Linked DNA regions of Canis lupus familiaris. The protein of the gene in region 3 purifies or fractionates together with the protein of the main gene of each other region. This does not show direct contact. Links are inferred from orthologs where the notes say so. Each region holds a gene or a part of one and is shown on either strand. Other genes may lie near its edges. The genes, in order: LRRC41, LARP7 and DRG1.

The links.
Region 1: the proteins of DRG1 (region 3) and LRRC41 purify together in Homo sapiens (affinity purification with mass spectrometry; 3 studies listed by BioGRID and IntAct, counting the BioPlex papers as one, with this or other methods). This does not show direct contact. The link is inferred for Canis lupus familiaris from reciprocal best matches to the Homo sapiens genes DRG1 and LRRC41.
Region 2: the proteins of DRG1 (region 3) and LARP7 purify together in Homo sapiens (affinity purification with mass spectrometry; 3 studies listed by BioGRID and IntAct, with this or other methods). This does not show direct contact. The link is inferred for Canis lupus familiaris from reciprocal best matches to the Homo sapiens genes DRG1 and LARP7.

What each region holds. Positions count from the first base shown.
Region 1 is NC_049236.1:14,183,512-14,187,257, forward strand, and holds the start of LRRC41 (leucine-rich repeat-containing protein 41), read left to right. Parts: upstream 1-1,373; 5' UTR 1,374-1,655; coding exon 1,656-1,854; intron 1,855-3,513; exon of another isoform or gene 3,514-3,746. Other genes in the region: UQCRH (cytochrome b-c1 complex subunit 6, mitochondrial), read right to left, coding at 1,159-1,212. UniProt on the Homo sapiens protein: Probable substrate recognition component of an ECS (Elongin BC-CUL2/5-SOCS-box protein) E3 ubiquitin ligase complex which mediates the ubiquitination and subsequent proteasomal degradation of target proteins.
Region 2 is NC_049253.1:7,466,312-7,470,057, reverse strand, and holds the start of LARP7 (la-related protein 7), read left to right. Parts: upstream 1-1,504; 5' UTR 1,505-1,682; intron 1,683-1,855; exon of another isoform or gene 1,856-2,064; intron 2,065-3,746. UniProt on the Homo sapiens protein: RNA-binding protein that specifically binds distinct small nuclear RNA (snRNAs) and regulates their processing and function.
Region 3 is NC_049247.1:24,736,057-24,739,802, forward strand, and holds the start of DRG1 (developmentally-regulated GTP-binding protein 1), read left to right. Parts: upstream 1-1,461; 5' UTR 1,462-1,585; coding exon 1,586-1,627; intron 1,628-2,448; coding exon 2,449-2,572; intron 2,573-3,746. UniProt on the Homo sapiens protein: Catalyzes the conversion of GTP to GDP through hydrolysis of the gamma-phosphate bond in GTP. Appears to have an intrinsic GTPase activity that is stimulated by ZC3H15/DFRP1 binding likely by increasing the affinity for the potassium ions.

The DNA.
Region 1 (3,746 bases), on a different chromosome or scaffold from region 3:
CCTGGGATCATGACACAGCTGAAGGCAGACATCCAACCAACTGAACCACCTGGGCGCCCCAAAGACCTCAGTTTTCTTAATTTTAAAACTGACTCCTTGCTTTTTCTCATCTACTGCTGTGGTAGGAGTGCTGAACTTTCTGGTATACTTCCTGCTGAACATCCTGAGGCTGGTTCCATTTCATTCTGCTCCTCTTTCTGAAAATAATAAGACTAGGAAAAATCTTGGGATAAACTAGTTTCCATCTGTTTTGAACCCATAAACCTGGAACAGCTGCCCTGAAGGGACTAGAGAACAAAGGATAGGAAATGTGACTGGAAAACAAAGGTAGCTGGCTTCTGTAAAGCTGTGAAGCACTGTGACTAAGTCTTGGTTGGGTCAGAAACCATGCTGCTTGGGTTCAAGTCCTGGCTCCATGATTTCCCAGCTGTGGTCCTTAGAAAAGACATTTAACCTTTCTGTGCTAGTTTTTCATCTGTAAAATGACAATAAGAACAGTACCCAATACTCACCTTCTAGGACTAGTGTGTCGCTTAAACGGATTGGTACATATAAATAACTTGGAATAGTAAGCAGTCAAAAAATAATTATTAAATTGGCATTCTTACTCTGGCAAAGAGCTCCCTCTTCCATCAGCACAGAATTATGGGGCACATTCCTACACTGTCCCCAAATATATCTCCCACCTTCACCCCTACCGAAAAAAAGAAACCACCACTTCTTTACAGAAACTAGCATAAGGCCAGATCTTCGGAACCTGCACAGAAAATGTGGCAGGATTCTTGACCCGAGTGGAGAGAAGCACTAGCGCTGGTCAGCCTGCTCTCTAAACCTGCCAAACTAGGGTCTCGGAACACCTGACCGACTAAAAATAAAAATACAATTTTTACAAAAGTTTAGGCGACACAGCATTTCTTTGTCGTTACACCTTCACTGCATTCACAGACGGGGGAAACCAGGAGCTAGAGAAAGGCTAGTCATCTACTTGTCCAAGATGAATCGACAAATTCTGGGGAAGGGTCAAGGGAACCAGCAATCCGGACGGTGCAAACTCCAGGGGCGACTCCAGGGCCAACAGGGCCCGGTGGGTTTTGGCGGGCTAGGTGTTGAGCCTCCCTCCGGGCAGCGAAGAGGGTCGAGTCGGTCGCCCTGCCTTACCTCCTTGGGATCTCCGGACCCGGTCAGCATCTTTTGCTCGTCCTCCAGCCCCATGTCCCGCTACAGTTCTGAATTCAACACCAGCAGCAACAGCGGCACCTACTCCACTTCAGGATCAAGAAGGACTTGTAAGGGTCACTCGGCGGATATCCGGCGGTCTGGCCGGAAGTGCGGCAGACTCGTCGTAGTCGCGAACACACGCTCGGATTGGCATCTACTACCGTCCATACGCAGGGGATGGGGGGAGCTGGTATTTGCACCTGAGGAGGATTTGCTAAGAAATATCCCCTTCATGGCGCCGGGGCCAACTACGTCGATCTCCGAATTAATTTAAGATTTTGGCTCCTAAGAGACTTGGGAAGAATTCGGATTTATTCGGTGTTCCTTTAGCGCAGTTCCCAGTATTACCCACATCGCTGATGAAACCGTCCTAACTGCTGACCTTTTCAAGATGGCGGCCCGCGGGCGCCACTCTCGGGCTCGCGCACCTCCCCAAGATGGCGGCGCCCGAGGCCTGGCGCGCCCGGAGTTGCTGGTTCTGTGAGGTAGCGGCGGCAACGACCATGGAGGCCACGTCCCGGGAGGCGGCGCCAGCGAAGAGCTCGGCCTCGGGCCCCAGCGCTCCCCCCGCCCTGTTCGAGCTGTGCGGGCGGGCGGTGAGCGCCCATATGGGGGTTCTGGAGAGCGGGGTGTGGGGTAAGTCGCGGGGTGAGGGGCTACCTCTGGCAACGAGCGGAGGCGGCCCAGCGGCCGGGGGGCACGGGGGGCGAGGCCGGGAGGCCTGGGGCAAGGCCCAGCCCGGGGCACTAGAAGCCACACCGTCGGGTCGGAACATGAATTCCGTGACTGACCGGGCTGTGCAGAGTAAAGGCGGGGAGCAAATCGGCAGGTGGAGCCGCGCCGCGGCCTGGCTGGGGGGCGCGGGGGGCGAGGCCAGGAGGCCCGGTCTGGGGCCAGACGGGCAGGGCCCGGGCGGCAGAAGCTGGAATGACGGGCCGGCCGTGGGCACCGAACTGACGCTCGGGGCCAGCGGGGCTGCGGAGTCTCGGATGCCGAACCGACGGCCAGGGATGGCCCTGCCGCTCGGGGGCGGGGGCCGAGGTTGGGAGTCCCGGCCTAGGGCGAGGAGGCCAGGCCCCGGGCCACCTAGCCTGACTGACGCGCGGGGCCTCCCGCGTCTGCTTGACAGACCGCGGGTGCCGAGCCTCGGGAGGGCAGGCTGATGGGCGAAGGCAGCCCGGAGGATGGGCGAGCGAGGGGCCGGGGAGAGGCCAGAAGGCTTGGAGCGCCGCGGCCTGTCCGACGACCCAGGCTTGAAGGGAGCGCACTGACGACCGGGGCCTCGGGTGCCAAACTGCTTGAGCGCCCGACTGACGGGCAGAGCAGCGAGCGCCGGAGGCCACTCGGATGGGCCTGCGCGGAGGAAGGGCCCCGAGCGGGGAAGGGAGGCCGGAGCGGGTCCAGCAATCGAGGGAGGCTCGAATGAAGGACAGGCGGGAAGGGCCAGGGAGGCCCCCCCGATCCCGGCGAGGAGGGGGCGCGTCGCGGCGAGGAAGCCTTGGGCTGAGTGGGAGCGACAGGAGGCCCCGGCCTGAGCTGCCGGGACGGTCGGGCCGGGGCTGAGCGGCAGAGGCGGGCCCGCGGCGCTGGGCGGAGGGGCCCGGCGGGACAAACTGACGGGTCGGGCCGGGCCGGTGGGCCTGGGAGTAGGGCGGGCGGCGCCGGCCAGGTAGCGCCGGAGAGGAGGCCCGCAGCCGACGGGCACGCGGAGGCCGGGCTTTGGGGTGGGCGCCCCTGGACCCAGACTGGCAGCTGATGAGAAAAACTCGAGTTGGCCTTGTGAACCCTGATGGTGAGAGTGAAAGAGGAGAGCGAAGGCTCTGGGTGGGGAGGGGAGGGGGGGTAGGCCTGCCCGCACAGGGGATGAGGGCTGAGGGCGGCCTTGGGCCTGACAGACTGGTGGTGGAGGGGGTGGGGTCCGAAGTTGGGTGAGGAGATCCAGGCCAGGCCTAGGGCCCAGAGAAGGGGGAAGGAGTGGCAGGAGAGGAGGCCTCAGGCCGTGAGGGGGTGGGGTTCTGAAGAAGGCCTCGGGAGTGGTGGTAGTGTCTTGCCAGGAGGAAGGCCCTGGTAAGGTCAGGTTGAGGGCTTGAGATCCTGGGATTGGGGGCATTGGGGGGGTTGCACCTGGGGAGGTGGCTGTGAAGAAAAGGCCCTGGAGTTTGGGGGGTTGGGCCTCCAGGAATAAGCCCGGAGACTCTGGAGACTGGCTAAAGAAGGCCCAGGGATGCGGGAAGGCCCTTGGTGAGGTGGGGGTGGGGCGCTGGTCCTAAAGAGGCCCAAGTGTCTTCCTGTAGTGGGAAAGACTGTTAGAAGTCCTCAAGCTGGTAGGGGGAGGGGATTGTGGAGGCCCTATGCCAACAGCTGAGAGAAGAAGGGTCAGACTGACCCATGGGGAATAGGAGAAGCCTCAGTGGAGCTGGGCAGGGGGCTCTGGAAAGTCCTGGGAAGTGGAAGAAGGCAGAGAAGACTGGCTGTGTCAGCCTGGAACTTCTAGGATGCTAAACTTGGCTAGGAGGGAAGAGGACTGG
Region 2 (3,746 bases), on a different chromosome or scaffold from region 3:
TAAGAATAAGATTACATAATCTAACTTGGGTTTTACAAAGATCGCTCTGGTTGCTGATAGGAGGCATAAGGGAGGGTAGCCCTGGTGGCGCAGCGGTTTAGCGCTGCCTGCAGCCTGGGGTGTGATCCTGGAGACCTGGGGTCGAGTCCCACGTTGGGCTCCCTGCAAGGGGCTTGCTTCTCCCTCTGCCTGCATCTCTGCCTCTCTCTCTGTGTGCTCTCATGAATAAATAAATAAAATCTTTAAAAAATAAAATACTAAAATCTTTAGAAGAGGCCTAAGTCCTACGTTCAAAGGAGTAAAAAAAAAAAAAAACAAAGGAGTTAAAATACCGTTTACCGTTAAATAGTTGAAATGGTATCAGCTAACAACATGGCATTTAAGTGAAAAGTAAAAACAAAAAAGAAAAAAAGAAAAAATCTGGGGACGCCTGAGTGGTTCAGCCCTTGAGTAGACCTCGGCCTCCCGCTCAGGGCGTGATCCCGGATCCAGTCCCGCGTCGGGCTCCCTGCATGGAGCCTGCTTCTCCCTCTGCCCGTGTCTCTCTCTGCCTCTCTCTCTCTCTCTCTCTCTGTGTGTGTCTCTCATGAATAAATAAATAAAATCTTTAAGAAAAATTTTTTTTCTAAAAATCATCTACGTCAAATGTTGACCCACCTCCAACGGGTAAAAGTTCAACGTGCAAAGTTTTAAAAGCGGTAGGGATACCTCAGATGTCTGCAATAATTATATAACCACAGATGTGCACATTACCTCCCCAAAGACATTACCCATACGTCCCTATGCTGCTTTATACATTCATATATAAAATTCTGTGTTCTCCATAAAATATGAACCAGTCTTATTTATGTTTAAGTACGAGGAGATGTTTTTGGTCTTTTTATTTTGGAACAAGCAAGATCTTTAGAATCCCTAAATAGTTCAGATTTAAAAGTTCCAGAGTCTCAAACCCAGTATCCTGTTAAGAAGTCGCTCAGTCCAAATGACCCAGAGAAGCCCACATTTCATTGCCAAGATAATAATTACCATGATTCTGTGTAACCGAATGGCAGTGAGACTTGACCCTCTGTCAGGCCTAGATAAACACAAAGAGCAAAACTCTCTCTGGTCCTTACACTTATTGCCGGAAGTGCAACGCAGAGGCTGGAAAGGCTGTCACTCCCCACACCTGGTTCCAAACAGCACCAGCAACGGCTCGCTTCCGGCGCAATAGAGCCTCTCAACACTTTGCCCTAAATTGCGACGCCGCCTCTCGTTCACATCCCCTTTCCTATCCACCTTCACTCCCAGAGAAGCAGAGGACTTCACCGGTCCGTAAAACACACGTTCGAATTTCTCCCGCGGAAGGCTGTGACGTCATCAACCCGGGACCGCACGGGATCAGGACCCACTACTCAGCCCGCCCACAAGTACCGACGTTTGCAAACCGCCAATCAAAACTTCTCGTGGTCTGTGAGCCTCCTCGGCCAGCCGGGTAACCCGACGCCCCGCCCCTTGCGCCAGCTCACGCCCGTGACGCAAGCGCCGGGCGCGCCGTCTCCGTCCTCGCGCTCGCCTTTTCGGAGGCGTACGGGAGAACCGTGTCGCCCACCCTATGACGCGGAAACCAGCTCTATAAGGATCTGGAGACGGAAAGGTTGGAGGACGAAATCACCGGCCCAGTATTTTGGGAACTGGACAGAGTAAGTTGGAAGTAAACTGTAGATCGTGTCGCTCAGGTTGAGTGAGGCTTCAAGTCTTCTAAGTCCTTTGTCACGCGCTCCATTCTATCATCTGTCGGCCCTTTCACTTCGTCCCCTCCCACAAGCCCATCGGTTTGCTCGTCCTGTTCCTCTGCGCACGCGCAAAGGTCCTTCAGCGGCCCTTGTAGTTCCAGTTTTCGGAGATTGGGGGCGCATATCGTCCGGCTTTAGGAGATCGGGGGCCCGCCCGGTATTGGGCAGCGTACTTGGGAAAGGACTGGTGTCGACGGGGGGCCGTAGCCAGAGGTGAAATCGCCGGGCCTCGTAGATGTGAGCGTTGGCGGCCAAACGATAGCGAGTGTGAGCACTTAAGTTTTTAAAGTTAAGTCACTTTCTTATTTTCGGGATTCTAGTTTTTGTCATCAGAGAATCGAAAAATCCAGTTACGGAAGGGAGCTAACAAATTATAAATGTCAGTGGAGTGTACTGAATGCGTTAATAAATGTGCTTGAGGGAAAATAGATGAGGAGGCAATAAATTAGGGGAGACGTGGTGGTGGAAAGCTGGAGAGAGTAAGATGCCATTTAACGTGGGCCTTGAAAATTGAATAGGAGTTTATAAGGCAAGTAAAGACAAGACTAATTGAAAGAACAGGCACGGTGTTCTGGTACCGTTGAATGGTCAGCCATGGTAGAACAATGACTTAACGTTTTTGACACCGTTTCCTCTAAAAATGGTAAAGGCTATGGATGAGCATCCTAGGAAGATGCATGCACGTCAAGACATTTTACGTATGATTTTGCTGGGAAATTGTGGAACACCTTGAAATGGCCAAGAAAAAAGATACTGGATGTCTTCTCTAGCTGGCTCTTCCAGGTTCTCTCTTTCATTATCATTGAGCTATTTTACATTTGTGTTAGTTGTAGGAAACGATTATAATGGAACTTAAGTCTTGTAGTTAATCAATTTTGTAGTTATGGCCCTAACCAGTTTTGCATCTATTAACAAATTCATTTCAGTGTTCCTGATTGCTTAGATCTTTTAATTCTCCTTTGAACTAGTTTTTTAATAGAATATTTTAAAATTTATTATTTATTTACTCTATTTTAAGTAGACCCCATGCCCAATATGGGCCTTGAACTCTCAACCCCGGGATTGAGTCGCGTGTTCTACTGACTGAGCCAGCCAAGTGTCCCCTCCAGAACTAGTTCTTTTGTTTTGTTTTTTTTTTTAAGATTTTATTTATTCATGAGAGACACGGTGAGAGAGGAAGAGACAGAGGGAGCAGGCTCCTTGCCGGGAGCCGAATGCGGGACTCCACCCCCAGACCCTGGATCACACCCTGAGCCAAAGGCAGAAGGCAGATGCTGAACCGTTGAGCCACCTAGGTGTCCCCTGAACTAGTTTTTTAACACTTAACTAATTCCTTGATTAATTTCACTAAAATAAAATATTTGATACGTATTCATTTTATGTTAATTTATATTTAAATTCCTTTGTTTAAAATTTCTCTTTTGGGGCACCTGGGTGGCTCAGCGGTTGAGCGTTTGCCTTTGGCTCAGGTGGTAACACCGGGTTCCTCAGAATGAGTCCCGGGTCGGTCTCCCCACAGGGAGTCTGCTTCTTCCTCTGCCTCTCTCTGTGTTTCTCATGAATAAATACATAAAATCTAAAATAATAATAATAATAAAATTTATCTTTCATCAATTTCACAGAATTCATAGGAATGTTTGAAACTCACCCAAAATTCCATAGACTTTAGGTTAAGAATATCTGGGTCAGAATACAGAATGTATCATGACAGGCTGTAAGAGGTTCTACTAAAAGGTGGGCAGTGTAAGGGAGTCAGACTTACCAGAGCTTGTTCACTTAACTGAGCATGTTTACCCAGCTGATTTTGGCCAATTCACTTAATTTTTAAGCCTCTGTAAAAAAGAATTTGAAAGGAACCACCTAATTGTGATTGTGAGGATTTAAAACAATATTTAAAGTAACTGGAATTGTTACACAGTACCTTTATTGTTTGTGTAAAAGCCCCTGTTTAGAAGCCAATTTGATGTCACT
Region 3 (3,746 bases):
GTTTCTGGCAAGTTGGAATTGTTCTTACTTACAAATTTAAATAAATAAACTTCCCTCCCAGGGCTGAGTGGAGGCCAGCCCTGTGGGTTAAACCTAGCCTGCGGACTCCCAGTGGATCAATCAATCTATCAACAAGAATTCATTGATCCCACAGGAAGCCGCTTTCAAAAGCAGCACATAGCTCCTGAATATCCCGGCTTCCTCTTCACAAGACACTTGGGGAAGAGGATTCTTTTGAAATTTTAAATTTTATTATTACACAAGTAATACATAGATAACATTCATCTTTTAAGTAATTTAGAAGACACAGGTATGTAGAATAACAAGTGAAAAGTCTTTTTCCCTCTTTCCTTGCATTCCACCCCACTGTTGAGAGCCTGAGACTGTATGCTTTAATTCAGACCTTTAAACAATGCATTTTCATACGTGTACACCTATATAAACAACTCATTTTAAAAAATTTTTTATTTACTTATGATAGTCACACAGAGAGAGAGAGAAGCAGGCTCCATGCACCGGGAGCCTGACGTGGGATTCAATCCTGGGGACCCAGGATCGCGCCCTGGGCCAAAGGCAGGCGCCAAACCGCTGCGCCACCCAGGGATCCCTAAACAACTCATTTAAGAAATACATTAAGTGGGATCACAACGTAGGTGCATTTATTCTTTTGTAAGCAGTATGTCCTGACATCCTTCCAGTCAGACCACACAGATCTGCTTTAACGACTGCAATACTTTTTTTTTTTACAGCACACAGGTGCCATTTATTTATCCATTTCCCTACTGATGAGCCTTAACACAGCTTCAAATTTTTCAGTATTACAAGCTATGTTGCAAGCACTGGTTCTCGGGCAATTATCTAATCAATCACGCACTTACTGCAGGCTCACCATGTGCCACGCACTGTACTCAGGGCTGGGGATTAACAAAACAGACCCCTAAATATAGCTTTGAGTGACCGAAAGGGTGCATTTTCTTTTTTCAAGAGGGCCAGACAGGCTGAAGATCGGTCTCTCTTCAATCCAGGAGGCCGAGGAGTCCGCCGGGGGGTCTCCCCGGGTGTCAGAAGGGGGGGGCTCAGGACCCCTCGCTGCCGGCGGAGCCGAGTGGATCGCCTGAGAGCGCTTTCCGCTCCCGCCCCGCGCCCACGCCCCGGGTCGGAGGCTGCGGGTGCAGCTTGCAGTAACCAGAAACCGCTCCTCGCACACCACGAGCCGGGCGCCGGGCGCCGAGCAGTGCGTGGGCGCAGGTCCGGCGGGGCGGGGCCGAGCGGCGCGCGACCCTCCGCGCGCTCGGGGAGGTACAGACCCGGGCGGCCTCTCTGGCCCCCGCTCCCGCGGGCTCTATGACACCGCGCTGGCTCGCGGGACGGGGCGGGGTTGGCTGAGGGGGGAAGAGATCACTCCAAGCCGTACGTCTCGCGGTGAGCTGCGCCTTGAACTCTCTCGCGAGACGTAGGAAGTCCCGCGCTTGCGCGCTGCGGTAGCGCCTGCTGGCCTGGGCAGGTCCGCCGGCGTTTGTGTGAGGGGTGGTCATCTGTGCGGAGGCCGCTACGCTCCCCAGCGACCTCCCAGGGACTCGCCATCATGAGCAGCACCTTAGCGAAGATCGCGGAGATCGAAGCCGAGGTAATGGGCACAGCTGGCGCTTCACTCTCCCTCGGAGTGTTCTTTCTTAGGTAGCGTTGCTCTTGCCCGTACTTTGTTCAGCCGCGTCAGGACCGGGCCTGCGTTCTCCTACTCCCCTCAGCCGGGCGCCGAGCCCCCCGACTCCCCTCAGCCGGGGCCCGCGTTCCACACCCCTGCTGCTTGGTCAGTGCCCCGTTCTAGTGTTCGGCTCCTGTCCGAATATCGCTCTTCTCAGTCTTCTTTTCTGTGAGCAGCACAGCCCCCCCACCTCCTCCCTCCTCCAGCCCTGACCCGCTCTCGCACCCCAGTATCTTTCATCATCTCCCAGAACCCGTCCCCCTTTCCCCAATCTCTCTACTCGGTAGACCGCGTTTCCCAGAGTATTGCTCCTAGGAATGGATCTGGGATAACATCTGCGGTAGCCTGTTGATTCCACCTGAACCAGCTGTGCTTCTGTTGTCTGAAGCTCTCAGTTCTTTAAAATTTGGAGAGTGGTGACCTTGTCAGATGGAGCATACCACGTACAAGCGGTAGAGAAGGACTCCGCAGCCGAGTTTCACTCTGATTTGTGGATGTTAATTTCAGTGACCTTGGTTGGTCTGTCCCTTCTACTTTGGGCCTCAGTTGACCTCTTTGTAATGAGGGGAATGGGCTGGGTGATGAAGAGGGTGAATTTTGACTCCAACTCTGACTAAAATGGGTATATTGACCTCAGATAGGATCTAGAAAAAAAATCCTTCACAGTTGGGAGAGCATTCATTCTGGATATTTTACCCTGTAAGAACTGCTTCTGATTTATAACTGTGATTCCTCCCTTGCAGATGGCTCGGACTCAAAAGAACAAGGCCACAGCACACCACCTAGGGCTGCTTAAGGCTCGCCTTGCTAAGCTTCGTAGAGAACTCATTACCCCAAAAGGTGGTGGTGGTGGTGGGCCAGGAGAAGGTTTGTGTTTTTCTTCAATGTTGGTGTGTTTTTTTGATGTAATTTCTTTCAAAATAATACAGGTGTATGGTTTAAAAAGAACTTTAAGCTGTCATATAGAAAAGTGTAGATGTGTATTTTCTAATCCTAAATTCTTGAGTGTGTTTAATTCTGCTGGTTTCAAAGGCCAATGAATGTTGTCTAAGGGATGAACTAGGGTTTTATACTGTATTTTTTTTTTTTAAGTTTATGTTTTTTACACACAACGTGGATCACGAACTCAAGATCCTGAGATTGAGATTTACGTGCTCCTCCAACTGAGCCAGCCAGGCACCCTTGTGTATATCCCATGGTGATCCAAAATAGGTTTTCGTTGGTTTACAGGAATACATAAATACTGTATTCCTAGAGGAGGGCCACGAATTTGGCTTTGACGTTGTTTGAGGCCATTATTTAAAAAAACAAAAACAAAACAAAAACCCGGTCAGTCACACAGTTTTTTTTTTTGTTTTTTTTTTTAAAAGATTTTTAAATTTATTTATTCACGAGAGGCAGAGATATAGAGAAGTAGGCCCCCTGCAAGGATCCCAATGCGGGACTCGATCCCAGACTCTGAGACCAGGGCCTGAACCGAAAGCAGGCGCTCCACTGCTGAGCCACCTAGACATCCCTCCCACAGAGTTTGTAAGACAAAAAAGAAACCCATTTTTCTCTTATTTAATCTTTTAAAAGCTTTTATTTTTTACTTAAATTTGTTTTTAATTCTAGCATTGATTTAACATAGTGTTGTATTACTTACAGGTATACAGTATAGTGCACAATATAGTGATTCAACACTTTCACTTTTTTTTTTTTTTTAAAGATTTTATTTATTTGAGAAAGCGCGAGTAGGGAGGGCCAGAGGGAGAGGGAGAAGCAGACTCCTCACTGAATGCAGAGTAGGGTTCAATCCTGGGACTGCAGGATCATGACCTGAACTGAAGGCAGACACTCAATTGCCTGAGCCACTCAGGCACCCAGTGATTCAAGGATTCTATACATTACCCAATGCTCATCACAAGTGCTCTTAATCTCCTTCACCAGTTCACCTGTCTCCCCACTCACCTCTCTTCTAGTGACCATCTGTTTGTTCTCTATGTTTAAGAGTCTGATTTTTTTTTTCTCTTTTTGCTTTTGTTTCTTATATTCCAATTAG